Linked DNA regions of Macaca mulatta. The protein of the gene in region 1 binds, or shares a complex with, the protein of each later gene. Links are inferred from orthologs where the notes say so. Each region holds a gene or a part of one and is shown in the gene's direction. Other genes may lie near its edges.

The links.
Region 2: the proteins of SUMO2 (region 1) and RANBP2 are in contact, whole or in part, in a crystal structure (PDB 3UIN), measured with the Homo sapiens proteins. The link is inferred for Macaca mulatta from reciprocal best matches to the Homo sapiens genes SUMO2 and RANBP2. Residues at the interface, in NP_008868.3 of Homo sapiens: His17, Asp26, Gly27, Ser28, Val29, Val30, Gln31, Phe32, Lys33, Ile34, Lys35, Thr38, Lys42, Leu43, Arg50, Gln51; in NP_006258.3 of Homo sapiens: Asp2630, Asp2631, Val2632, Leu2633, Ile2634, Val2635, Tyr2636, Glu2637, Leu2638, Pro2654, Thr2656.
Region 3: the proteins of SUMO2 (region 1) and SENP2 are in contact, whole or in part, in a crystal structure (PDB 3ZO5), measured with the Homo sapiens proteins. The link is inferred for Macaca mulatta from reciprocal best matches to the Homo sapiens genes SUMO2 and SENP2. Residues at the interface, in NP_008868.3 of Homo sapiens: Arg56, Arg59, Arg61, Phe62, Asp63, Gly64, Gln65, Pro66, Asn68, Thr70, Asp71, Gln75, Leu76, Glu77, Asp82, Asp85, Phe87, Gln88, Gln89, Gln90, Thr91, Gly92, Gly93, Val94, Tyr95; in NP_067640.2 of Homo sapiens: Gln385, Asp386, Leu395, Arg396, Tyr408, His409, Trp410, Leu411, Asn412, Asp413, Glu414, Ser439, Thr440, Phe441, Pro444, Lys445, Arg456, Trp457, Lys459, His474, Val477, Trp479.
Region 4: the proteins of SUMO2 (region 1) and TDG are in contact, whole or in part, in a crystal structure (PDB 2D07), measured with the Homo sapiens proteins. The link is inferred for Macaca mulatta from reciprocal best matches to the Homo sapiens genes SUMO2 and TDG. Residues at the interface, in NP_008868.3 of Homo sapiens: His17, Asn19, Asp26, Gly27, Ser28, Val29, Val30, Gln31, Phe32, Lys33, Ile34, Lys35, Thr38, Lys42, Leu43, Ala46, Glu49, Arg50, Gln51, Gly52; in NP_003202.3 of Homo sapiens: Met165, Arg281, Gln283, Val286, His287, Ile290, Asn305, Met306, Asp307, Val308, Gln309, Glu310, Val311, Gln312, Tyr313, Thr314, Phe315, Asp316, Leu319.
Region 5: the proteins of SUMO2 (region 1) and USPL1 are in contact, whole or in part, in a crystal structure (PDB 7ZJV), measured with the Homo sapiens proteins. The link is inferred for Macaca mulatta from reciprocal best matches to the Homo sapiens genes SUMO2 and USPL1. Residues at the interface, in NP_008868.3 of Homo sapiens: Gln25, Asp26, Gly27, Ser28, Val29, Arg59, Arg61, Gly64, Gln65, Pro66, Ile67, Asn68, Asp71, Gln75, Leu76, Phe87, Gln88, Gln90, Thr91, Gly92; in NP_005791.3 of Homo sapiens: Ala234, Cys236, Trp237, Gln322, Leu323, Arg324, Met330, Glu331, Ser332, Val334, Phe335, Leu339, Thr378, Thr380, His393, Gly395, Pro396, Asn398, Arg407, His421, Phe422, Val423, Glu424, Tyr451, Asn454, Asn455, His456, Phe457, His493.
Region 6: the proteins of SUMO2 (region 1) and ZNF451 are in contact, whole or in part, in a crystal structure (PDB 5D2M), measured with the Homo sapiens proteins. The link is inferred for Macaca mulatta from reciprocal best matches to the Homo sapiens genes SUMO2 and ZNF451. Residues at the interface, in NP_008868.3 of Homo sapiens: Asn19, Ala23, Gly24, Gly27, Ser28, Val29, Val30, Gln31, Phe32, Lys33, Ile34, Lys35, Lys42, Leu43, Ala46, Arg50, Gln51; in NP_001026794.1 of Homo sapiens: Asp30, Ile31, Gln32, Phe33, Val34, Ser35, Glu36, Gly37, Pro38, Leu39.

Annotation. Positions count from the first base shown.
Region 1 is NC_133421.1:84,872,962-84,877,961, reverse strand, and holds the start of SUMO2 (small ubiquitin-related modifier 2), read left to right. Parts: upstream 1-1,749; 5' UTR 1,750-1,878; coding exon 1,879-1,899; intron 1,900-3,513; coding exon 3,514-3,645; intron 3,646-5,000. UniProt on the Homo sapiens protein: Ubiquitin-like protein that can be covalently attached to proteins as a monomer or as a lysine-linked polymer.
Region 2 is NC_133418.1:19,348,195-19,352,577, forward strand, and holds part of RANBP2 (E3 SUMO-protein ligase RanBP2), read left to right. Parts: intron 1-97; coding exon 98-175; intron 176-2,581; coding exon 2,582-2,752; intron 2,753-3,369; coding exon 3,370-3,462; intron 3,463-3,747; coding exon 3,748-3,926; intron 3,927-4,383. UniProt on the Homo sapiens protein: E3 SUMO-protein ligase which facilitates SUMO1 and SUMO2 conjugation by UBE2I. Involved in transport factor (Ran-GTP, karyopherin)-mediated protein import via the F-G repeat-containing domain which acts as a docking site for substrates.
Region 3 is NC_133407.1:97,769,829-97,774,211, forward strand, and holds part of SENP2 (sentrin-specific protease 2), read left to right. Parts: intron 1-2,386; coding exon 2,387-2,518; intron 2,519-3,906; coding exon 3,907-4,110; intron 4,111-4,383. UniProt on the Homo sapiens protein: Protease that catalyzes two essential functions in the SUMO pathway.
Region 4 is NC_133416.1:111,202,801-111,207,183, forward strand, and holds part of TDG (G/T mismatch-specific thymine DNA glycosylase), read left to right. Parts: intron 1-1,172; coding exon 1,173-1,414; intron 1,415-2,232; coding exon 2,233-2,302; intron 2,303-4,118; coding exon 4,119-4,254; intron 4,255-4,383. UniProt on the Homo sapiens protein: DNA glycosylase that plays a key role in active DNA demethylation: specifically recognizes and binds 5-formylcytosine (5fC) and 5-carboxylcytosine (5caC) in the context of CpG sites and mediates their excision through base-excision repair (BER) to install an unmethylated cytosine.
Region 5 is NC_133422.1:10,494,694-10,499,076, forward strand, and holds part of USPL1 (SUMO-specific isopeptidase USPL1), read left to right. Parts: intron 1-1,998; exon of another isoform or gene 1,999-2,087; intron 2,088-2,527; coding exon 2,528-2,657; intron 2,658-4,383. UniProt on the Homo sapiens protein: SUMO-specific isopeptidase involved in protein desumoylation. Specifically binds SUMO proteins with a higher affinity for SUMO2 and SUMO3 which it cleaves more efficiently. Also able to process full-length SUMO proteins to their mature forms.
Region 6 is NC_133409.1:125,138,310-125,142,692, reverse strand, and holds part of ZNF451 (E3 SUMO-protein ligase ZNF451), read left to right. Parts: intron 1-1,330; coding exon 1,331-1,461; intron 1,462-2,958; coding exon 2,959-3,145; intron 3,146-4,383. UniProt on the Homo sapiens protein: E3 SUMO-protein ligase; has a preference for SUMO2 and SUMO3 and facilitates UBE2I/UBC9-mediated sumoylation of target proteins. Plays a role in protein SUMO2 modification in response to stress caused by DNA damage and by proteasome inhibitors (in vitro).

The DNA of each region.
Region 1 (5,000 bases):
GCTGGCCTTTCCAGCTTAGGGCAGCTGTTGTAGTGGTGTGTCACACAGTTTAAGAGTGGTAGGTCAGGAAGAAGAACCCACGCGAAAGGTAAAGTGAGGAGTTTTAGTTGAGAGTTGCTGGGTTTGAGGTGCCTCTGGGACATCCAACTGGAAACTCAGAAGAAAGATGTGGACTAGAAATAACAGATTTGAGGATCATTAGCAAAGAGATGGCAGCGAAAGCGGGTGAAATCATCCTCGGAGAGGGAATTGAGTGATAAAAGGATCTTGAAGAAAACCCTAAGGAACAGTTAAGGGAAGGAGTGAGTAAGAAAAAGAAATTGCAGAGAGAACAAAGGACAGGCTAGAGATGAGAGGAAAACCTACCTCCTGCAAAGTTCAAGAGAAAGAGTGACAAACTGAGAAGCATACTGGATTCAGCAAAGAAGTCTGCGGTGACCTTGTGGAGAGCAGTTTTAGTGGAACTTTGGGGACAGCACCAGATTGCAGTGGGTTGAGGAGTGAGTGGGAGGGGAGGGGTTGGAGACAGCTGGCAGGGACATTTTTTCAAGCTGTTTGGCCAAGAATGGAGAGAGATAGGATGGTAACTTAATAGAATTGAGAGCTTCTTCTTTTTTTTTTTTTTTTTCTATACTAACGGAGGAGAGGAAGAAAATTCAGGGACAAAAGCAAATAATAAAGCCCAGGGGGAGGAGCAAGATGGAATCCAGTGCACACACTGGATTGTTCTTCAGACAGGAGGGATGCATGTCTATGTTTTAACTGGATGCAAGGAGGAAATGATTAAATTGGCTGGAAGCTTGATTGTTGGGTAGTTCTCGCTTAAGGATACTGTTTCCTCTTGGAAGATAGGCGATGAGTAAGGAGTTCGTTGAATGAATACACGAACATTTTCCCGTAGCTAGTCAAAGTCTAGGGTTACCAGCAGGACAGAAGAAGACACTGCAGGCCGGGTATGGTGGCTCACGCCTGTAATCCCAGTACTTTGGGAGGCCGAGGCGGGCGGATCACGAGGTCAGAAGACCGAGACCATCCTGGCTAACACGGGGAAACCTTGTCCCTACGAAAAATACAAAAAATTAGCCGGGTGTTGTGGCGTGCGCCTGTAATACCAGCTCCTCGGGAGGCTGAGGCAGGAGAATCGCTTGAACCTGGGAGGCAGAGGTTGCTGTGAGCCGAGATCGTGCCACTGCACTCCAGCCTGGGCAACAGAGCGAGACTCCGTCTCAAAAAAAAAAAAAAAAAAAAAGAAGAAGACACTGCATTTGAGGCAAGAGTCCGGTGGGAAGCAGGTTAAGACTGACTGAGAGGAAGTAACCATGGGAGGGCTGCTGGTCCACTGAAAGAGAGAGATTTTTCCAGAACCTCATGCTGGGGCTTTGATTTAGGAATCCCCTTCTTCCTCTAGTCAGTCAGCCTTCCCTGGCCTATGGCTCACGTCTAAAGCCTCGAGCCTCATCGTTCCCACCGAGGACCAGCTGGAAGCCATTTTGATTATGCTCCACCACGAAGGAGGACAATACAGCCCCGCCCAGAGCCAGGCGCGCCCCCGCGGCGGGCCGGGTGCGCGTGTCCGCGCTTCTTCCCGCCGGCCGGGCGGGCGCCTGGCCCAGGACGCGGTGGCGCGGGGCGGGGGGTGGGGGTGGTTATGTAAGCGTTGCGCGCTCCCGCGAGGCGCCAGCCAATGGGAGGCCCCGGCGGCTCGTGCTCGCGCACGCAGGGTGGGGGGAGGGAGCGCACGACGTGCGCGCACCCTCTCCCTCGTCCACCGCTGCCGCCTCCTTCTTCTGCCGCTCCTGGTGCTGCTTGTGTGCTCGTTTGGTGCGGACCTGGTACCTCTTTTGTGAAGCGGCAGCTGAGGAGACTCCGGCGCTCGCCATGGCCGACGAAAAGCCCAAGGTGAGCTCGGCGCCGGCCCCTTCGCCTCGCCGCGCGGTCGGGGTCAGGGCGCGGGCCGGGGTCCGGCCAGAGCTCGCCGCTGGCTCCCAGCGCCTTCCCGGGCCCCCCACAGGGCCGGCCGCAGCTCAGGCCCCGGCGCTCCGCGCCATTTTCCTCCCTCCCTCTCTTCCTCCCTCCCGCGCCGGAGGAGGCCCCGCCGCTCTCTCCCGCCCCCGGCGGCCTCCGAGTGCGCGCGGGGCGCGAGTTGGGCGGGCAGATCGCGGACGCCCGCGGGCCCACCAGCCCCGAACGGGGATTCTTGGCCCAGCCGTCCGGCGCGCGTGAGGAGGGGCGTTAGGGCGCGCGGGGTCTCCACCCTGCGCCGACCCCGCGTCGGGTGTTGCAGTCTCCGAGGCGGCGGGGAGTCCCCTGGGCTCGGGCTTCACCTCTCAGGGGTAGAAACCGCGGGCATCTGGGGACTCCTGCCCGGGGCGGCGGCGGCGGGGCGAGGGTTCGGGGCGAATCAATGGGCTGCTGATGAGCAGGAACCTGGATGCCCGCTGGCCGCCGTACTGGGCCTGGGGGTAGGGGGATTCCCGTGGAGTATTTCCCACTTTAATGGCCTCAGGGACCTGAGGGGGGAGGGGCAGCGGCTTTTCCCTGGGTGCCAACGAACCCCTAATCCGCGAAGACCATGTGGTTTCATGAAGTTGGAGGCACAGGTAGGAGCAGAGAGACTTTGTGCGGCTTAACTTTTGAATGCGGCTTTTGAGGCACCCGAAGACTTCCCGGGAGGACTGGGGGACACCCATCATCGGGGCACACGGGACTTGCTGCTTTTAGTTTGGTGACACCTCCCGCCTCTCGCGCCTTTACTTTCTGAAGCGTTTTAGGGCTACAGCATGCCTTCTACACTCGATTTTGGACAACTTTAGGTTGGGTCGAAATCTACAAGAAACACTTGGGATAAAACTGTGTATTTGACCCATGACAACAAAGGGGAGGGGAGAATAAGTGCTCTTAACCGAAGATAAAAATGAAGCTGCTAATAGAGGAGAACGTAACTGTGGTCCTGAGTATTACCGCTGTTCCGGAGGGAATCGGGATATTCTTCGATTTTTCGTGTGTGTGTTTACTTTAATGGAGATTGGATTTAGGTTATTAAACTGAGTTTGGTAACTTTTTAACGACAACGGTAATGAGTTTTGAATGGCAGGCTGTAGATTTATTGTTTTGTTTCTTGCAGTTGTACTTAAAGTGCTTAGAAAAGAGACTCTTATTTTTAACTTTTTTTGGGGGTAAAATATATATTTTGGGAGTGATATATGCCATTTTAGAAAGTTTAGCTTCAAGAGAACGTTCAATACACTGAATAGGACCCAACTTTAAACATGTATTGTTGTTACTGATAGTATTGCATGTAGGCTTTTCTGTATCTGACAGCTATCTAATACTGTTGCTGCAGGATTTCTCCTCTTTCACATTGATTTCAGCAGCTGAAAACAGCCGTATGCCGTTTTAGCATACCGTATGAGAAACCTGTTGATTTTTGAAGCAACTTAGGGCTGCTGCTGCTTTATAAAAGTGTGTGTTGATCACATTTCCCAAATTATACTTTTATTTTTCTTTTAACAGGAAGGAGTCAAGACTGAGAACAACGATCATATTAATTTGAAGGTGGCGGGGCAGGATGGTTCTGTGGTGCAGTTTAAGATTAAGAGGCATACACCACTTAGTAAACTAATGAAAGCCTATTGTGAACGACAGGTGAGGAATTCATATGTGTACTTCCACTGAATAAAACTATTTTTAAAAATCTTATTTTCATGGGAACAAAAACTAGCCTGGCATAATACTACAGTGACTTTTTGATGGGATGAATATGCACTTGTACTTGGCATGTCAGTTTTATCGTGCACTTGGTAGCTTGCTCATGAAAACCCTTAGGATGATTTGCTTAGTATTATATGTGGTTCCAGTCCTGTGCCAGAAATCCATCAAATTGTATTTACAATACTTGTTTTTTGGTTTTTTTTTTAACCAAGGAAATGTAATTTTATGTTTATAAGAAAGTAAGAGTGAACTTGGTAAAATTACTTAAGAGTCTTTTATTATTTTATTTTATTTTTTTGAGACGGAGTTTCATTCTTGTTGCTCAAGCTGAAGTACAGTGGCGTGAGCTCAGCTCACTGCAACTTCCACTTCCCGGGTTCAAGCAGTTTTCCTGCCTCAGCCTCCTGAGTAGCTGGGATTACAGGTGCCTGCCACCACGCTTGGCCAATTTTTTTTAGTATTTTTGGTAGAGATGGGGTTTCATCATATTGGCTAGGCTTGTCTCAAACTCCTGACCTCAGGTGATCCACCCGCCTCGGTCTTCCAAAGTGCTGGGATTACAAGCATGAGCCACTGCGCCAGACCAAGAAGTCTTTTTTTTTATTTTTTTTTTTGAGATGGGAGTCTTGCCGTATTTTTTTAAGCTAGAACTTATCTACCTTGTAAATCGTGGGGTTTTTTTTGTTTTTTTTTGGTTTTTTTTTGACAGAATCTTGTTCTATTGCCCAGGCTGGAGTGCAGTGGTTCAATCTCTGCTCACTGCAACCTCTGCCTCCTGAGTTGAAGCTATTCTTTTTTTTTTTTTTTTCCCCCCCGAGACGGAGTCTTGCTCTGTCGCCCAGGCTGGACTGCAGTGGCCAGATCTCAGCTCACTGCAAGCTCCATCTCCCGGGTTTATGCCCTTCTCCTGCCTCAGCCTCCCGAGTAGCTGGGACTACAGGCGCCCACCACCATGCCTGGCTAGTTTTTTGTATTTTTTTTTTAGTAGAGACGGGGTTTCACCGTGTTAGCCAGAATGGTCTCGATCTGACCTCGTGATCCGCCCGTCTCAGCCTCCCAAAGTGCTGGGATTACAGGCTTGAGCCACCGTGCCCGGCCAAGTTGAAGCTATTCTTATGCCTCAGCCTCCTGAGTAGCTGGGATTTCAGGCGTGCGCCGCCATGCCCAGCTAATTTTGTATTTTTGGTAGACCTAACCTCAACTCCTGACCTCAAGTGATCCGCCCACCTTGGCCTCTCAAAGTGCTGGGATTACAGGCGTGGGCCACTGTGCCTGGCCCCTTCAGATTG
Region 2 (4,383 bases), on another chromosome or scaffold:
GTGGTATAAATTGAGGGATTCTGGCTTTTTATGTTTTAAAAGCATATTCATTTTGTTTCCCAAAATGTTAAAAAATGAAATATTCTTCATTTTCTAGGATTTAATTTTAGCCTTTTTAAATCTAATCCCATGGCCTTTTGGACTAGCACCCCTTCCTCACAGCCTGAGAACAAAGGTATAGAACTAGCATTCTCAGTATGAGATAACAGCAGTTTTTAGCAGCTGGTAGCCCTTAGCAAAGTATTAATAACTGTGGCTGTATGAAATTAAGTACTTAACACTACAACATGCATGTTAAAGAATGCCAGTTTAAGCAAAGCACCTTTTGACTGGTGGCATGACATCCTTTATTTTTGGTTTGTTTTTTAAAATATACTGGGATGCTGATTTGTAATGTACTTCATTACTCTGTTATTTCAAGTCTGCTCAATGAAGACCTATGTTTTATCTAATGTTTATCTTTAGCCACTAACGTCTGCCAGTATTCAAATGTATTGGCAACGGCATGTATACAATATGGAAGAGTGTCCCTGTAGGGCTGTTCTTTTGTGCACGGTTTAGAAAAATGTTGTATTTGAAAATGGACCCCATTTTTAACAGCCAGCATTCTACAGCTTGTGTATTATATATGTTGCACAGATCATTTTTAGAAGTGTGGCTGCTAGAGTGGAACAAGAAGTGGGATCTGTTGAAGGCCTTCTAGAAAGTTTAGGGAAGTGAAATCTCACCATTAGTGACCAGTAACACATCTTAGCCATGCCAAACAAGTACAATGATAAAGTAACAATCTCTGATTTTTTTTAAGTATACCAGTTTTATTACTGGCTAAGGTAGCTCTTAATCTTTTATTTTTAAAGATACAGTCTTTGAGAAATATGAAAAGTGAACTTAAAAGTGGATGTATACTAGCATACAGTTTCGAAAGTGGATGTATACTTGCATACAGTTTCTGTGAGCTCTAGGTTAGGAATCCCTGACCTAAGAACGAATGTGTCTATACACTACTGTAGAACAAAGAGCCTTATTCTGTTTTGAATCTGATAATGTCATTGTCCCAAGGCACCTTAGAAATGAAGACTTTAGACATGAGTAAACTGAGGCCAAGAGAGGCTATCTCATTTACCCAAGGTGTCTTGACTGAGTAATAGTAGAACTGGAACAAGAACCTTTATCTTACGGTGTACTGTTATTTCTCCTAGCTAGGTAATGATACTAAGTTTTTGTTTATAATGTAGGAGAAGGACAAATTTAACATTGTGAAAGGAAGGGCGCTGGTTCTCCAGAGCAGTGTCATCCAATAGAAATAAAGTATAACCTGTGTATGTAATTTAAAATTGTCATTTGGTGCAGGCTTGTGCCTATAATCCCAGCTACTTGGGAGGCTGAGGCAGAGGGATCACTTGAGCCCACAAGTTCCAGGCTTCAGTAAACTATGATCACATCACTACACTCCAGCTCTGGGTGACAAAGCAAGACCACATCTCAAATAAATTAAATAAATAAATTTTCTAGTAGCCATATTAAAAAGAATAAAAAGAAACAGTTAAAAAGGGAAACAGATGAAAGTAATTTTATTGATATATTTGATTTCACTCATGATATCCAAAATATCATTTTAACTTCTAATTAACATAAAAATTGATATTTTACATTATTGTTTTTCACCAAGTCTTCAAAATCCAGTGTGTGTGTTTACACTTAGTATTAGCATGTCTTGATTTGGACTAGCCACCTTGTAAGGTTTTAATAGAATGTTGCTAGGCTACCATATTGGACAGCATAGCTCTCAGAATGTTTCCCTGTCACCAGTTGGTATACATGGCATGCTTCTTGACTGGCTTACTTTATTAAACTCCTTTAGCCAGAAATTCTTCTTTACATTAATAGATCAGAACAGGTTGCATATAGAAGTTTTTTCTCTCTCTAATTTTTTGCCCTTTGCATTGATGGTGGCTGGAGATGGGTGGTTTTCAGCCATATGAATCATCTTAGATTTTATAGTGTTAGTTACCCATAGAGTAACAGTTTTTATTTAATTTTATCTAGTATCATGCTTGGAATGTAGACAAAGTAGATGCAACTCTAATCACCTTCCATTCTTGGCAATTGTTAACTCTCCTTACAGGAACTAATCACAGTTGGCTTTGGATTAGTTTCATATGTCTACTAATACTTGCTTATGTTTTCTTTAAGATTTTTTTAGTTGCTGCAAATGCATGGATATTTTCATAAACCTACTGTATGCTAAGTATAGTTAGGCAACACTTTCAAATTTTTAACCTTTTTAAATTCTAGAAATCAGTAGTAATTCTTTTCAATAACTATTAAGTAAACACAAGACTTTTGTTTTCTTTGGTTTTAAATAGATTCTATGTTCACTAAGGGTTTTTGGTAGAACACTAAATCAGGATGCTAATTCTAATTCATGATTATCGTACATCTCTGCATCAAAGTATATGTATTTTTTATCAGTATGCTGTTTTAACCTGCAGACAAGTTCTATGGTTTTTATTTTCAGTTAGAGTATTAATGTCAATACTTAATACCTTACCTTTGTCAATTTTTTTGACTGGTGTTACAGCAAAAGAGAAGAAAAAACCTGAGGATTCTCCCTCAGATGATGATGTTCTCATTGTATATGAACTAACTCCAACCGCTGAGCAGAAAGCCCTTGCAACCAAACTGAAACTTCCTCCAACTTTCTTCTGCTACAAGAATAGACCAGATTATGTTAGTGAAGAAGAGGAGGATGGTAAAACTTTTGTTATTTCAAAAACACTGTGTTCCTGCTAATCTTAGTAAAATTGGGAGTGTGGTGTAATTATTTTAAGCCTGCCTCTTAGAACTTATCACTAATATCCTTGCAGGTATATTCACCCTAAATGTATGTGTAAGTGGTCAATGGATATAAGGATCAAAAGGACTGTGATCATTGAGCAAGCATTTTTTGGATGGCTAATGTGCCAGGCACATGTTTTGAGGGGATTTAAAATAATCATAATTTTTCTGGAGTCTTAAAGATGTGGAAGAGAGATAAGGCAGACAAGGTTCCAATGGAAAACTTTGTATGCCATTTTTTAAGCTAAGCAGTTAAATAAAAGTCTCAATAGAATCAGTTGGACAGTGGTATACAGTATTGGATTATGGGACAAGGAGATTGGAAGATGAGTTAAAATGAGAGCAGCTCAAACAAGATGAGAGGCTGAGCTAAAGCTCTAGCAGTAAGAGAGGTATTAAGGATATAAAATTGGCAAAATTGACTGCAATTCAAATGGGGAGAGGGAGAAAGGGTGAAGTTGGAGATAGTCCCTAAGCAAGGAAAACCCCCCAAAATTAACTAGAAATTCTTTTAATCAATTGTATTTTAAGATGAAGATTTCGAAACAGCTGTCAAGAAACTTAATGGAAAACTGTATCTGGATGGCTCAGAAAAATGTAGACCCTTGGAAGAAAATACAGCAGGTATGTTAAATGTAAAGGACATTTATACTGCTTTTAACAAGTCTTCTATTTAGAAGGAATAACCTAGTCTGGTAATTTCTATAATTATCAATTTTACTATGCCCATGGTGATTTAAAATACTTTAACATTAGGTGAAAAATATTCTTTTCTGGGTGGTCCTTGTTTTTCATTAGCATGTACAGGTCTTGTTACCTGGGTCTGTAGATTATATTGATGACTACCATTGTTGTAGAGAAGTTGGGCTTCATCTAATTTCGTTTGCTTGTGTTGTACTGATTTTTCAGATAATGAGAAAGAATGCATTATTGTTTGGGAAAAGAAACCAACAGTTGAAGAGAAGGCAAAAGCAGATACGTTAAAACTTCCACCTACATTTTTTTGTGGAGTCTGTAGTGATACTGATGAAGACAATGGAAATGGGGAAGACTTTCAATCAGAGCTTCAAAAAGTTCAGGAAGCTCAAGTAAGAATATCTCTAATAAATTTTCCTTTTAGTTCCATTGCTTTTGTTGATGCGGTAAACTTTAGAATGTTCTCATTTGTTTATTTTTGAGACAGAATTTCACTCTTGTTGCCCAGGCTGGAGTGCAATGGCATGCTCGTGGCTCACTGCAGCCTCTACCTCCCAGGTTCAAGTGAATCTCCTGCCTCAGCCTCACGAGTAGTTGTGGTGGCATCCTGCCTGGCTAATTTTTGTATTTTTAGTAGAGACGGGGTTTCACCATGTTGGGCAGGCTGGTCTCGAACTCCAGACCTCAGGTGATCCACCCGCCTGGGCCTCCCAAAGTGCTGAGATTATAGGTGTGAGCCACTGCGCCTGACCTAGAATGTTCTTACCAAATAGTAATAATGGGTTGTGGCTACTAAATGGGTTGAGGGGTCTAGACTAAATCAGCTATGGCCAGGAAATAAGGAATTTT
Region 3 (4,383 bases), on another chromosome or scaffold:
ATTGTTCTTTGTATTGATCCTAAAAAGAGGCATGTCTTTAAATAACCTCAGTTATTCTAAACTTGAATATTTTGTTTTGAGGACTTTCTCCAGACTAGAGATGAATGTATGAAAACAAATCAGGTCCATAGTCTGTTTATTCACTTTGACTACATTGATCTTTAGTGAGTCATGATCATTAGTGGCCTAAGGGATCAGATTGATATTTAGCAAATGTGAGTCAACACAATCATCTCATATCTTGGAATACAACAGATTCTTTGTAAATTCTAACCTTCAAATATGTTGAGTTATATAGTATGGGTTTGGTATTAGGAATAAGTTCATTGCATTTTTTAAAAAAGTGGTTACAGTTTACTAAAATGCCCCTTTTGCTGATTATTGCATTTGAAAATAATAAAAACTTACAGAACATGAAGAATGAAGGTAGTTAAAATTCTTAAAGATGTGCCACATCTTGGCTTCCTCTACAATGTTGCCCTAGTAGGCAAATCTCTTGAATACTTACTGTTATATTGGGCATGCAGGTGGAGAGAGAGAGAGATCCATAAAATAGTGAAGCTGTGTGCTGGGGGAGGAAGCATATATTTAGAAGAAAATAATTTCTTCTTTTTTTTTTTTTTTTGAGATGGAGTTTCACTCTTGTTGCCCAGGTTGGAGTGCAATGGCGCGATCTTGGCTCACTGCAACCTCTGCCTCCTGGGTTCAGGTGATTCTCCATGCTCAGCCTCCCAAGTGGCTGGGATTACAGGCACCTGCCACAACGCCCAGCTAATTTTTGTATTTTAAGTAGAGACTGGGTTTCACCGTGTTGGCCAGGCAGGTCTCGAACTCCTGACCTTAGGTGATTTACCCACCTCAGCCTGCCAATGTGCTGGGATTATAGGCGCGAGTCCCTGCCCCGGGCCTAGAGGAAAATAATTTCTATTGGGTTAATGGATTTAGTTTTGTATTCTAAATAATGCATTTATCTGCATAATTCTTTAGTATGATGAAGCCATTTATTCCATAAGGAGTCAATTGCTAAATTGCTGCCTGGTTTCCAAGTTTCTGCCTGTTTGCTTATTCTCTTCATGTCAAAAAGGATGGTATAACCCCTTAGATGTCCTAATCTTATTTTGATGTTTTATTTACTTATTTTTAAGATGGAGTCTCGCTCTGTCGCCAGGCTGGAGTGCAGCGGCACGATCTCAGCTTACTGCAACCTCTGCCTCCCAGGTTCAGGTGATTCTTCTGCCTCAACCTCCTGAGTAGCTGGGACTATAGGTGCATGCCACCATGCCCAGCTAATTTCTGTCTTTTTAGTAGAGACGGGGTTTCACCATGCTGGCCAGGCTGACCTCATGATCCACCCGTCTTGGGTTCCCAAAGTGCTGGGATTACAGGCGTGAGCCACCGCACCCAGCCTATTTTGATGTTTTAAAAGTTTAAAGGAGAGAATGGGTGCAGTGGCTCACGCCTGTAATCCCAGCACTTTGGGAGGCTGAGGCAGGCAGATCACTTGAGGTCAGGAGTTCAAGACCAGCCTGGCCAACATGGTGAAACCTCGTCTTTACTAAAAATACAAAAAAAAATAGCTGGCATGGTGGTGCGCACCTATAATTCCAGCTAATCAGGAGACAGAGGCACAAATATCGCTTGAACCCGGGAGGCAGAGATTGCAGTGAGGTGAGATCATGCAACTGCGCTCCAGCTTGGGTGACAAAGTGAGACTCTGTCTCAAAAAAAAATAAAAGTTTAAAGTGGAAATCAGGATTTTAGTATTATGAAGGGAGCAAAGGCCAGGAAATTAGACACACCTGGGTTCAAATATTTGTTCTACCTTTTAATAATTATATGACTTTGAATATGTAAAATAAATTCTCAGTTTTCTTCTCTATAAAATGGTAATAATATCTTCCCCACTAATACGGATTAATGATGTGCTTCAAGCATCTAACACCATGTTTGGCTCATAGTGGTTAATACATAGTAGTAGGATAATTGAGACCATACTTTAGATGTAAATATTATTATTATTGTTTCCACAAGCTAATAAGTGAACCAGCATTTGTTGTATTAGTAAGAGTGCTTTGTAGTTACAAGTTAAAATATTTTCAGGGTTGGTGTGGTGGCTCATGCCTATAATCTCAGCACTTTGGGAGGCCAAGGCGGGTATTGCTTGAGCCCAGGAGTTTGCAACCAACTTGGGCAATATAATGAGGCCCCATCTCTATTACTAAAAAATAAGAAAAAAATGTTTTCATACTATAGTAAGTCTTTGATAGTATATTTTTCTCAAGAGTCAGGTGTTGCCGAGATGAAAAACTTTTTTCAGTCTCAGAGTTTTCAATAACTGATAATGGGTTCTATATTAAAATAACAACTTCTGGACTTTCTAATTCAGGACATGGAAAAGGAAATCAGTAATGCCCTAGGCCATGGCCCACAGGATGAAATCCTAAGTTGTGCTTTCAAATTGCGAATTACTCGAGGAGATATTCAGACATTAAAGAACTATCACTGGCTCAATGATGAAGTAAGTTGTATTCCCTCCCCCTTTTGGCCATCATTAATTTTAACTATTTATTTATTATCTGTAATCAAAGTGACTTCTACCCAGTTATAAGAGGTTGGTAAAGCAACTCTTAGTTATAATTAAAACAAAAACATCTTAAATCTTAAAAAGATGGTTAGTTCTGATTTTCTGCCTTTAATTAGCAATATTTCCCTTTTCTGCGTCTGTACTTTATTACATCCACCACTCCATTTACTGGTCTTCAGTAAACCCTGGGTACAACTGATGAATAGGAGGAAGCAGCAAGTGATACTGTATTTTAGGTGAATTCTTATAGTAGCTGTTTTTTTGTTTTTGTTTTTTGTTTTTGAGACAGAGTTTCGCTCTTGTTGTCCAGGCTGGAGTGCAATGGTGCAGTCTTGGCTCCATGCAACCTCCACCTTCTGGGTTTAAGCGATTCTCCTACCTCAGCCTCTCAAGTAGCTGGGATTACAGGCATGCACCACCACGCCCGGCTAATTTTGTATTTTTAGGAGAGACAGGGTTTCTCCATGTTGGTCAGGCTGGTCTCAAACTCTGGACCTCAGGTGATCTGCCCACCTTGGCCTCCCAAAGTGCTGGGATCACAGGCGTGAGGCACCACGCCTGGCCTGTTTTATTTTTTGAGTAATAAAAGGATATATTGATTACTATATACTCTATGTATTTTTCTTTATTTGAGTGATAGCTGAAAAATTTTGCCTAACTTGTCATCTTGTATCCTTATTACATTTAGCAGAAGCTAACTCTTAAGTTCTTTGACAATTTTCTGGTGGGTTCTTTCCCGAACTGTTTAGCCCCTGCATCTTCTCTCTTTGAGGGAAATCCCCTATGACTAGTTACTTATAAACACATTCTTTGAAAATAGGAATGTTTTGTTTTACATTATAATGTAATTTGTTTATTGTAGAACATTTGGAAAATACAGGAAAAGTAAAAAATATTACTGTTCAAAAGTACCACCACTTAAAGATAAATAAAATGTTAATATTTTGGTGTATGTCCTTCCAGTTTATATTTTAAAATTGAAGTCTAATTTATATATAGTAAAATTCACTTACTGTTAATATTTCTGCATTTTTTTGCTGTGTTACAGTTATGTAGATCTTTTTATTATTGCACAGACTTTCTTCCTGGATTCCATCTTCTGGCCGTTAAGTGTTACTTACATGCCTTAAAAGTAGAGTTTCATTCCATTTTCATGTGTTCCATTTTGCACTGATCACTTTTTTCCCTGTCTTCTACTATAGAGAGTCCTTTTATCCCCTTCTTTAGTACCTTACCTTCGAATTCATCCTTATTCAGGTAGAAATTTAGTTTTGATAATATATTTGCCATGTTCCAACTTTTGTTCCCTTGGTATTTTGTAGGTCATTAATTTTTACATGAATCTTCTGGTGGAAAGAAATAGAAAGCAAGGCTATCCAGCACTTCATGTATTTAGTACTTTCTTCTATCCTAAATTAAAGTCTGGGGGTTACCAAGCAGTGAAACGATGGACCAAAGGGGTAAATCTCTTTGAACAAGAAATTATTCTGGTGCCTATTCATCGGAAGGTACATTGGAGCCTGGTGGTGAGTAGAGAGGGTTAATGGTTAATTGTTGGACTTTGGATAAAGACCATTTTTTAAAAATAATGCTGCCTGGCCGGGCGCGGTGGCTCAAGCCTGTAATCTCAGCACTTTGGGAGGCCGAGACGGGTGGATCACGAGGTCAGGAGATCGAGACCATCCTGGCTAACACGGTGAAACCCCGTCTCTACTAAAAAATACAAAAAACTAGCCGGGTGCGGTGGCGGGCGCCTGTAGTCCCAGCTACTCGGGAGGCTGAGGCAGGAGAATTGTGTA
Region 4 (4,383 bases), on another chromosome or scaffold:
AGGGTAAGAAAACCAGGGCTTCCTGCTGGGCAACTATAGGTCAGTGGTTTTCAATCAAGGGTGATTTTGCCCTCCCAAGGGACATTTGACATTGTCTGAAGACACTTTTGATGATAAAGACTGGCAGGGTACTACTAGCATCTAGTGGGTAGAGATCAAGGGTGCTATTAAACGTTCTGTAATGTGCAGGACAGCCACCCACAACAAAAAATTGTGCAGCCTGAAATGTCGGTAGTGTGGAGGTTGAGAAACTGCTTTAGGTCCTGAGGTCGGATCCCTCCTCCTGCCTTTTGAAAAATACTGCCAACCCAGAGATGTCATCCTGAGCACCCCTAAATTTCTCTCTTCAACTATGTATGGAACAGAATATACCTCATCTCTAAAACAAGCCCACAAGCCATTTGTGTTTTTCTTTCTGTTTTTTTTTTTTTGGTGACAGAGCCTTGCTCTGTTGTCCAGGCTGGAGTGCAGAGGCATGATCTCAGCTCACTGCAGCCTCCACCTCCTGCGTTCAAGCAATTCGCCTGCGTTCAAGCAGTTCTCCTGCCTCAGTTTCCCGAGTAGTTGGGATTACAGTGCACACCACCATGCCTGGCTAATATTTTTATAGTTTTAGTAGAGACGAGGGTTTCACCATGTTGGCCAGGCTGGTTTCGAACTCCTGACCTCAGGTGATCTGCCTGCCTTGGCCTCCCAAATTGCCCTCCCAAAGTGCTGGGATTATAGACATAAGCCACCATACCTGGCCCATTTGTGGTTTTCTACTGGGGAAATTGAGTTAAAATGTTTCCCTTCCTTCCTGTTTCTCTATTTTTCTGTTCTTGTTTGCTTATTTATGTATTTACATTTAGAATTTATATAAAATGATACATAGAAACTTTGTATCCCTGAGAAGGTTAAGATGCCAAGTAATGCTGTGTAGAAAATAATAGTCTATGATTATTCTTCCCACAAACAGCTAGCAGGGGAAGGAAAGTAGGCATGGGGGATTGCGTGAACCCAGTTCTAGGGTGAAAGACGGGGAGGATAGTGCAGAGGGGACTGATGTTGGGACTGTAAGAGTTTAATTTTGGGGAGACAGGTACAAAAGGTGCTTATTGGGTAACTCTTCTGGGAAAGCTGCTAAAGTTTCTAAGTTAAGATTTTCTGCATTTCTGGAAATTGTGTTTCAGAGGCTCCAAAAGGAAGAAAAAGAAAACCCAGAACAACAGAACCAAAAAAACCAGTGGAACCCAAAAAACCCGCTGAGTCAAAAAAATCTGGCAAGTCTGCAAAATCAAAAGAAAAACAAGAAAAAATTACAGACACATTTAAAGTAAAAAGAAAAGTAGACCGTTTTAATGGTATTTCAGAAGCTGAACTTCTGACCAAGACTCTCCCCGATATTTTGACCTTCAATCTGGACATTGTCATTGTAAGATCTTTGTCCTCGTTGGATTTTATAAGTAGTATTGGGGGATTAGCTTTACTTAACAGTTGTCCTTGCAAATAGCATTTTGCTGAAAAGGACCATTTCTAAGAATCCTTTTGGTGGTAAATGGTGTCACCTGCATGAGTTTGTGTTATATGGGAGTGTTTAAGAGGGTGGGCTCCAAATGTAGGCTGTCTGGGTTCAAATCCTGTCACAAGTATAATCTTGGGTAAGCCTTACTAACTTTCTGAACACCGGTTTTCTCACTGATAAACCAAGGGTGATAATACCACTCCCTTATAGGGTTGCAAGTAAATGAGATAATCCATGTGAATCACTTCGACTGAATACCTGTGGAGACTTCATAAATGGTAGCACAGATTTTAAGCTCTTATTTTTGTCAGTAACTGTAAGAAACATCAGCATGTGAATAATTGTGTAGGTGATGTGGAGCGAGCTTGTTGAAAGCTGAGAACCAGAATTGTGGCTGGACATGGGCTCAGATTGATTGATTGTTCCAGGACCTCTCTTTCCAGACTCAAAGCAGCCCAGTTGGTGAGGGCGAGAGGCCTGGGATCATGAAGGAGTCAAACTGGTTTTTTAAAATAACAGCAAAACTTTTAAAATAAAGAAAATCTCTTTCCCATGTATGAAATACTTTGTTCAGATCAAGAGTAGTGATTGGTAAATGATATTGCTTATGATGCTCAATTAAATTTGTATTTTAATCAACTCAATTTTGTCCACCACTCCTCCATAGAAACCCTAAGGCTTAGGTCCTACTTTTTAAGATGAAACGTCTTAATTGTTTTGTTTTATAGATTGGCATAAACCCGGGACTAATGGCTGCTTACAAAGGGCATCATTACCCTGGACCTGGAAACCATTTTTGTAAGTGGTTACCTTTTAAATTAATTTACTTTTAAATTAGATACCTTTTTAACAGGTTTTTTCAAAAAAACCAATTGTGTTTTTAAAAAGAAAGAGACTGTAAATACACATTCATGTTTCATATTCTGTGTATGCGTCTGTACATGAAAATAAGAGGGTTTGAAATGATATGTCACTGTTAACATTTTAGTCTGAGAGTGGAGGGACATGAATAAGAGTACTTTCTCTTTTGTTTGAATTGTTTCTAATGAGTTGTACTACCTTTTTTTTTTTTTTTTTGAGATGGAATTTTGCTGTTGTGCAGGCTGGAGTGCAATGGCGCAATCTCCGCTCGCCGCAGCGTCCGCCTCCCAGGTTCAAGTGATTCTCCTGCCTCAGCCTGCCTAGTAGCTGGGATTACAGGCATGTGCCACCACGCCTGGTTAATGTTGTGTTTTTAGTAGAGATGGGGTGTCTCCATGTTGGTCAGGCTGGTCTCGAACTGCCAACCTCAGGTGGTCTGCCCACCTCAGCCTCCCAAAGTGCTGGGATTACAGCCGTGAGCTACAACGCCCGGTCAAGTTGTATTACTTTTTAAAAATGATTTTTTTAAAAAATTGTTATCTATAGACATAGGAACGATAGTATAGTACATCTCTGTGGCAACGCAGACATAATACTAACATTTCCAGATTTCTGCTGATTATTTTCTAGGAAAGCATAAAATAGTAGTAAAGACTTATATTTTTAGAGTAAGTTTTACAACGAAGTGTTGGCGGGATCTGATGGCTCACGCCTGTAATCCCAACACTTTGGGAGGCCAAAGCAGGAGGATCACTTGAGGCCAGGAGTTTGAGACTAGCCTGTACAACATAGCAAGATCTCATTTCTACAAAAAATAAGGTAGAGGTTGTGGTGCACACCTGTAGTTCCAGCTACTACAGAGGCTGGATTGGGAAGATTGCTTGAGCCTGAGAGGTAGAGGCTGCAGTGAGCCACAATTACTCCACTGCACTCCAGCCTTGGTGACAGAACTAGACCCTGTATCAAAAAAACAAGAAAACAAACAAACAAAAAACAAGCGTAACTACTGTTGCATTACTTTCTCTATATAAGCTGTCTTGTATGTAAATCATCTCACCTTATACCGCCTAATAGATCAGTGTATACAATATACCCTAAGGAAATACTAATTGATTATCTAACGGTAACATTCAGAACATTTAGGGCAACTGACAGTAATGTGGTTTTGGAACTAATAATAACATATTGTTCCTATAAAAAATTCCTTTTTTAGGGAAGTTTGGACTTTTAAATTTCTTCACCGTCAAGGTGTTTGTTGTTAGTCTATTGCTGTATATTTATGTGTGAGGTAGTGGTATCACCAATTGTAAAGCAAAATAGTCTCAAAGTTTCCTAAACTGAGTTGCTATATATTCTTGGGCAAGCATTTGCCTCAACCCCCTGTGAAAAGGAGATAATAATAGTATCTCGCAAGATAATTATGATGATTAAATCCAGGCGCGGTGGCTCACACCTGTAATCCCAGCAGTTTTGGAGGCTGAAGTGAGAAGATCACTTGAGCCCAGGAGTTCAAGACCAGCCTGGGCAACATGGTGAAACCCTGTCTCTACAAAAAATACAAAAATTAGCTGAGCATGGTGGTGTGCACCTGGGGTCCCAGCCACTCAGGAGGCTGAGGTGGGAGGATTGCTTGAGCCTCGGTGGTCGAGGCTGCACTGAGCCATGATTGTGCCACTACACTCTAGCCTCTAGCCTGGGTGACAGAGCGAGACCCTGTCTAAAAAAAAAAAATAACTGAATTTTCATTTCACAGGGAAGTGTTTGTTTATGTCAGGGCTCAGCGAGGTCCAGCTGAACCATATGGATGATCATACTTTACCAGGGAAGTATGGTATTGGATTTACCAACATGGTGGAAAGGACGACGCCTGGCAGCAAAGATCTCTCCAGGTAAGTACACAGCATTTGTTTTTATGGGTTGGAACCTTGACTAGGCTGGTCCCCCAAATATTCTAGGAACATCATATGTGTCTAGTTCAAGCTGAGCTCAACAAATGTGCGATACAATCTTTCATTGAA
Region 5 (4,383 bases), on another chromosome or scaffold:
TTTTAAATTATTATTTTGTGTAATCATAATAATTGGGCAAACATACAGCTCTTTCAATGCAGGAGGATTCCTCTCTTGTTTTACTGCCCATTCAAGGATAGGTGCTATATTTTAGCTGAAGATCTTACTAATTAAATATAACTTATTTAACCATGTGTTTTGAGCTCTTTTATGATATTTTAATTCACGGAGAACTTTATGTATTTTAGACCTGAAGATTTTATATTGTGATTATGAAATGTAAATTGTTTGCTTTTTCAATTAATATTTACTTACAATAGAATGCGGATTTAAAGGCTGGTAATGAATTACAAAATTGTGCTATATGACATACTATTTATGCATACAGTGTTGCATATTTTCATTTCTGGGAGATTTATTTGTATTTCTACTTACAAAAAAACTTTTTAAAACTTGTTTTATGGCTGGGCCCGGTGGCTCACACCTGTATTCCCAGCACTTTGGGAGGCGGAGGCAGGTGGATCACCTGAGGTCAGGAGTTCAAGATCAGCCTGACTAACATGGTGAAACCCTGTCTCTACTAAAAATACAAAAAATTAGTCAGGCGTGGTGTAGGAGCCTGTAATCCCAGCTACTCGGGGGTGCTGAGGCAGGAGAATTGCTGGAACCCAGGAGGCAGTGGTTGCGGTGAGCTGAGATCGCGCCACTGCACTCCAGCCTGAGCAACAAGTGCGAAACTCTGTCTCAAAATAAATAAATAATACAAACTTTTTTTATGTTTTTGTTCAAAAGTAGCAGTGAGACTGTCCCACAAAGGTGACTAAAATAGCCTTTGTAACTACCGATATTTATAGAATATGCTTAGGGTTAGGGTATAACTTGCTTGTATTATACTCATCTACCATGTAGAAATACGTACATCATAAGGAAGTATAACACTGTTTGATTACCTTGGATGGTCATCTTCTTGGGAGAAAGAATCTGAGCGGTCTGACTTAGGAATCTACCACTGGGTACGTTATTGTAGGGCAGAGGCGTTCCCTAGAAATATGCAGGCTGGTGTCCCACCTCTTGAGAGTGGGTGCAGTTCTCAGAACCAGGAGAATATTTAGGGGGCAAGTTGTTAGTTGCTTCTTTAGTACTTTTCCCAGTAGACACATCTACCATTTTTAACCTCAACTGTGCATTGAAAAGCACCAAGGGAATTTAAAAGTAAATACCAATCATAGGGACATTTGAATTAGAATCTCAGGGATGGGGCTCAGGAAATCAGTAATTTTTAGAAACCCCACATGATTGTTATTACTTAGGTAATAACACCTACTGTCTGCCTTGTGGTCCTGCCAAGGTGACTGTTCGAGGCAACTGTAGTTCCAGGCTAGGGGGAGAACTGGACCATGGAAGTGAGGCTCTGTCCAGGTTAGGGAAGGCATGGAAGGACTCAGTCTCTTGGGCCAAATCAGTAAGGGAGCATCTGAGCTCCTTGAGAATAGGAAGGAGAGAAACCAATTGGAAAAAAGAATGTAAGAGAAGCATGTAGATTCTGCTACTTAGCTTACTTTCCAGTCTCAAAGCTGAAAGCCAACATTCACTGTTCAGTTATTTTCAGTGACAAGATTCAAATCTTCAATCGTAAAGTTGTTAAAGGAAAGGATTAGACTGAAAAGTTAGGAAGAACGGTAGATGAAGAGTCCAAAGAGTTGAGGCTGGTCATTTAACCATTGTGTGGCCACACCCTTTCCACAGGTGGAACAAGATGATCAGAATAGAAATGGCCAATTCTGGTGTGTTTCTACAGTGTTTCACTGGTTACATTTTTTTAACATCTGTGGCAAACCATTTCCATAATTTTTTTTCTTTTTTTAGAGACGGGTGTCGCTCTGTCACTCAGGCTGGTATGCAGCGGCATGATCATAGCTCACTGCAGCCTCAAATTCCTGGGTTCAAATGAGCCTCCTGCCTTAGCCTCCTGAGTAGCTTGGACTACAGGTGTGTGGCACCACTCTCAGCTAATTTATTTCATTTTATTTTTTGTAGAGATGGTGCCTCGCTATATTGGCTACGCTGGTCTCGAACGTCATAGAAACTGGTTTTAGGTTCCTAGAGGCTGGCAGCAATTCTCGGAGGTAATGCAAGCAGTCCTCCTGCCTTGGCCTCCCAGTGTGCTGGGATTACAAGGTGTGAGCCACCACACCTCATCAATTTTTGTTTTAATATACTCTAAGGCTATTATAGTTCCAAGATCTTTTTTTTTTCCTGAGAAATCTAGAAAGATGGAAGACAGTATGGGTCTTTTGTGTGTTTTTTTTGTCTTAAGACATTTTCATAAATGTCTGCCAAGGAAAAGGAAAGAGATCGAAGTGTTAATTAAATATTTATGATGGACATTTTTAGAGAAATGCTTTATAAACTTTCCCTCTCCCAGCTCTGGGTGACTTATTCTGTCATACTGTATTAACACATATTCATGCTGTAAATATAGTAAGAAAAGACAGTAGTTCACAATTTTGGTTTAATTTTTGCCATTATTGATTATGAGCAGTAATTTTTCCTTTTCTTTTTGAAGGTGATATGGAAAGCCCTGTGTTTGCATTTCCCCTGCTCTTAAAACTAGAACCCCACATTGAGAAGCTCTTCCTATATTCTTTTTCTTGGGACTTCGAATGTTCGCAGTGTGGACACCAGTATCAAAACAGGTTAGTTTCTTTTGTTTTTTAAAATGGGTCCTTCTAGTTTCTCCACCACAGGTTAAGAGAACAATTTGAGCACCAGACACTGCAGTTTGATTGCTTCTTTAAACTGGAAGGGTCAGAACCTCATGGTTTGATAGACTGGTAGTAGGAGATTTCTTAAGGAGTTCTTCAGTGGGAAATAGGGACGATGAGAGGAATAGTACACCTCCCTTCTCCAGAGTCCTTGCTGAGTAAGAATACCTCTCAGAATGCCTTGAAACTATAGGCATTTTTGTTTATTCCTCTATTAGAGTTGAGGGGTTTTGCTTGTTTACTTTAGGTTTCTAACATTATAGACACTGGTTTTAGACTCTTGGAGGCTAGCAGCAATTCTCAGAGGTAATGCAAGCTTCCTCATTTCTTCCCATAGTCCTGTGAAAGACCAACCACCTCCAGAAGCCTTACACGTGAACTGTCTCAGCCATACTTTCTACTTTTCCTAATGCCTCTCAGCGGCGTATTAGAAAGGCCATGATTGATGCACCTGTTACCTTCAGGCTTTGCATAAGGTGTATATGAAACATAATGAATTTCATGTTTAGGCCCAGGTCCCATCTCCAGGTTATCTCTTTATCTTGGAGACACTTCTGGTCCCATACATTTCAGATAAGATATTCAACCTGTACCTACCATGTAAGGAGAGGAATAGGTTTTAGAAGAGGAGTCAGGGAGGCAAGGTATTGAAGATGACCAAACTGGCTCAATTGGTTATGTATTCAAATTATTACAACAGAAATAACTCTTTTCCACTTTTTTTTTTTTTGAGATGGAGTCTCACTCCCATCGTGCAGGCTGGAGTGCAGCAGTGCAATGTTGGCTCACTGCAGCCTCCACCTCCTGGGTTCAAGCAATTCTCCTTCCTCAGCTTCCTGTGTAGCTGGGATTACAGGTGTGTGCCACCACGCCTGGCTAATTTTTGTATTTTTAGTAGAGACAGGGTTTCACCATGTTGCCCAGGCTGGTCTTAAACTCCTGACCTCAAGTGATCCAGCTGCCTCGGCCTCCCAAATTACTGGGATTACAGGTGTGAGCCACCATGCCCAGCGACACTTAAGTTAGAAAACTTGAAGTCTCTTTAAGTTACTAAAGTAAAATGTGATATAAAAATATTACTTTTGAAGGCTGGGCATGGTGGCGCACGTCTGTAATCCAGCACTTTGAGAGGCCGAGGCAGGTGGATCATGAGGTCAGGAATTTGAGACCAACGTGGCCAACATGGTGAAACCCCGTCTCTACTAAAAATACAAAAATTAGCCGGGCATGGTGGTGGACGCCTGTAGTCCCAGCTACTTGGGAGGCTGAGGCAGGAGAATAACTTGAAACCCAAAGGCGGAGGTTGCAGTGAGCTGAGATCATGCCACTGGACTCCAGCCTGGGCAGCAAGAGCTTCACTCTGTCTCAAAAAAAAAAAGAAAAAAAAAATTACTTAGATATTCATTATCTAAATATGAAATCTTTTTTAGGTATTTAAGGAGTAGTCAAGGAGAGTTCAGTCTGGGAGGATGCTCCAGGGAATGCAGGCAACAAAGTGTTTGTTTGTTTGTTTTTAACTGGTTAGATCTACTAGAACAGGGTAAGGGAGGCCACGGAGTAGACACCATGAGCAAAGCTAACCCTCCTGAGTTGAAAAAAATTATGGACAAGAAGTTACCTTAAAAATAACTGTTGGCCGACGTATCCAAGGAATGTC
Region 6 (4,383 bases), on another chromosome or scaffold:
TAAAAGCCTCCCCTTAAACCTTCCTGGATAGATCATAGGAACATGATTGGAATATTGTTCTTTTGTATTATAGTTACTCTGCTAGAGTCATTTTCTCTACATGCCTCTGTGGTAAATGTTAGCTCTATCTGGTGACTCAAAAGTTTATGGACCTTTTGGCTGGGCGCGGTGGCTCACGCCTGTAATTCCAACACATTGGAAGGCCGAGGTGGGAAGATCGTGAGGTCAGGAGATCAAGACCATCTTGGCTAACACAGTGAAACCCCGTCTCTACTAAAAACAAATTCAAAAAATTAGCCAGGTGTGGTGGCGGTTGCCTGTAGTCCCAGCTACTTGGGAGGCTGAGGCAGGAGAATGGTGTGAACCCAGGAGGCGAAGCTAGAAGTTGCAGCCGAGATCGCGCCACTGCCCTCCAGCCTGGGCAAGAGAGCGAGACTCCATCTCAAAAAAAAAAAAAAAAAAAAAAAAAAAAAAAAAAGAAACAGTTCATGGATCTTTTGATACTGATTGAAAAAGCCTTTATTCAACACCTAAAGTGTGTCAGGCACTATGGCTTTGTACTAATATGGTTACTGATTATTATGGTTTTATCCCTTTTAAAATACAGAGAAGCAGATGTTTTGTTTTTGTTTTTGTTTTTTTCCCTCAAAGTTTTAAAACTAATAAATAGCAGAGTTAGCTTTTGAAATTTGGCCTTTCAACTACAGGACTAATGTCATTTTCAACATGTCATAACTGCCTCTTCGGTTCATCCTGCTGTTCTTAAGTGTTCAGCTTCATCTAAACCTCTTTACAAATTGTTGACCAAACCTGGGGGAGAGGCTTCTTTGGTTTACAGAGGATTAGTATAGTGAGCATCTGCTGTTGTTCGTGTTTGATAGAAAATAGCATGTAAAGAGAAAGATTGGGATTAAAGATAGAAACATGCTGACCTGGATAAGTTAGCCAGTATAATTGCTTTAGTAAGTTGAGCTTTGGTGATTGCCCATCATTTCTGCATTGAACAGTGATGACATTTGTAAAAACCACTTATGCTTACACTTACAGAATAATGCCATTCAAAGAATTTTTGCACACATTACTTTTGATTTTGCTTAATATCCATGTGAGTTTTAAGATGAGTTGACAGATTCAGGGAATTTAGTCCACTTTCTCAAGACTGTACAGCAACAAGATGTTGATGCTTATGCTCGGATGGAGTTCTTCCACATTCTGATTTAGTACTTTGCCTCTAGAAAATTTTTTTTCTAGTATATGTTTTTTCTTGATAAAATTTTTGGCCTTTCCTCTCCTGTTTGATTATCATTTTTGCTTTTTCTGAAATTAATAGGAGGAAACACCAATTGGAAGCCTCCACTCAACTGTAAAATTTATAATTACCTGAACAGGATTGGATGCTTCTTCCTTCATCCTCGCTGTAGTAAAAGAAAAGATGCTGCTGATTTTGCCATATGTATGCATGTGAGTCATTGTTTTATTCAAAATCTAATGTGAATCTCACACCCACTTGCATTTTTTTCCCACTTGAATTGTAATGAGAGTTATAGACCATTCTTCAGTACTTCAGGTTCTACCTGTGACTATTATGAAGGCAGGACCCCATAGCATATTTTTATTGCTTTATCCTCAACTTCTAGCAAACCTTCAGCTATCCATGGTAGATACTCAACTATTTGTGGGATAAATGATCAAGAGATGATACTGTTTTTTGGTTTTAAGACAGTGTCGCTCTGTTGCCCAGGCTGGAGTGCAGTGGCGCAATCTCAGCTCACTGCAACCTCAGCCCCCTGGGCTCTAACGATTGTTGTGCCTCAGCCTCCCAAGTAGCTGGGACTACAGGAGCATACCACCATGCTCGGCTAATATTTGTATTTTCAGTAGATGGGGTTTCTCCCTGTTAGCCAGGCTAGTCTCAAACTCCTGGCCTGAAGTGATCCGCCCGCCTAGGCCTCCCAAAGTGCTGGGATTACAGGTGTGAGCCACTGCACCCGCTGATGATACTGTATTTGATATATATTAAGACATTTTCATATTTTAGTATCTCTAAAATTAAGAGGTACCTTAACAATCACTGTCGGCCTAGATAGAATTTACATTTGCTTCTGCCTCTGCCAGGTACCTAGAGAAACTGCCAAACTGAGACCCACTTTACATTTTTTGCTTGAGGACTTACATGTCACACTGATAATGTGAATTTACTCGGCAAACTTGTTGACTACAGCTTATGGTTTAAACAACAAAAGATTTCTTTTTCCCTCTATCTAGTGCCAAGATTGAATCATGCAAATTGCCTTGCTTACCTTTTCTCTATGACAGATTTATTTCTTATTTACCCTTACATTGAGTGTATAGCCCATTGGTATTCCAACTTTATGTGAAGTCTGTTGGACTTCCATTTTGGCTTTTTCTTTTTATGGCACATAAAATAGCTTATCATATAATTTAATAGCATCTTATATTTGATTAAATGTGGGGTATTTAATTTATGAAGGAAGTCTTTCTCTCTGTTTCTTTTTTTTTTTTTCTTTTTGAGACGGAGTCTCACTCTGTCGCCCAGGCTGGAGGGCAGTGGCGCAATCTCGGCTGCAACTTCTACCTCTCAAGTTCAAACGATTCTCCAGCCTCAGCCTGGAGAATCCAGCTTGGGATTATAAGCACATGCCACCACACTCAGCTAATTTTTGCATTTTGTAATAGAGACCGGGTTTCACCATGTTGGCCAGGCTGGTCTTGAACTCCTGACCTCAAGCGATCCACCTGCCTCAGCCTCTCAAAGTGTTGGGATTACAGGCGTGAGTCACTCACCCAGCCGAAGGAGATCTTTGTGTCATACTTTGGTAGGGATTAGGGAACAAGCTTAATATACCTTCCTAGGTATGTGTTCATTGTGAATAGATATAACTTGTTTTGAAACTCGTGCTGATTTTTTATCAACCTGTGCCATTTGTTCTAACTTAGGCTGGCCGTCTAGATGAACAACTACCCAAGCAAATTCCTTTCACCATCCTCTCAGGAGATCAAGGTTTTCTGGAGCTAGAGAATCAATTTAAGAAGACTCAGAGGCCAGCTCATATACTAAACCCTCACCACTTAGAGGGAGATATGATGTGTGCCTTGTTAAATAGCATATCTGATACCACCAAAGGTACGCAGCTGCAGTCACAGTGCAAACCACCCAAGAGGAGGAGACTTCACTGCTGAGAGAAACCAATAAACTGCTGTCCGCTAGTGAACTGTTGCCTGCTTACTAAACCATCATGTTCTCTTACTTCTATCTTACTTCTCTTTTTTTTTTAAATCTCACTTTCATTCTTTAGTGTTTTAGGAGGAGGATGAATTCATAATAATTTTCTGGAGCCTTTTTTTGATCTAGTAGATAAAATCTCTATTGATGTATATAAAATATATATTCATGCGTTATAGTATGTTACTACAATTTTAAGAGCTCAGAATTCACATCTTCACTTTGTTCCTGAAATTCCAAATTGACCTTCAGTCTTTTAGAAAGCAGTGTGTTTACAGTTGAAAACAGGAAAGCAATAAAAAAGGCGATCATTTAGGAGGTTGACAGTGACAAAATGAAATGCTGTTAGGCTTTTAGGTCCTTAGAGAAGTGGGTACATCCTATCTTATTGCTGGGCCTTGCACTTTCTTCTGTACCTTTGTGAGATTATTCAATGAAAGGAGTGCTGATGTCCATTTTCACTTCCTAGTACATAAGAAAAGATGTAATTCTAAGGATTCAGAAGTTTTGTTTTTCATTTTTCATAATTTCTGCAGTCAAATGTTCTACCACTGAGCTATACCTCTCTTTTTCGTAATCTCTGAAGAAATATGGATAGAATAATTAATGTTTAAATAGGCTAATAATTTAAATTCATGAATAAGGTTTGAAGATATTAATGAATTACCTTAATGAAAAATAGTGGCTTTTTGGCATTTTTATTGTGTGCCTTTTTTAAAGTTTTCAACTCTGCTTGCCTCCTAGATTTTTTTTTCTTTCAATATATTTGGAAGTACATTTTGATTGAAAACCCATTTTGGAGAATTTTGCTCTAGTCACTGATTATAGTGGATCAATTCACTTCTGCAAAGTTAGGAATCAGTAATCTGTGCTCTTTATACTCTTTAAAGCAGAGTAATGATGGAAGATTATAAAAGAAAATGAACTCTTGTATCTTTATGTCACTTCCTCTTTAATTTTTGTTTTCACTTGTTTTTTCTATCTGTGAATTTCTTTTTTCTTAACAACAACAAAACAAACAAACAAAAGCCACTGTGTGCAGTGGCTCACGTCTGTAATCCCAGCACTTTGGGAGACCAAGGCAGGTGGATCACCTGATGTCAGAAGTTCAAGACCAGCCTGGTCAACATGGTGAAACC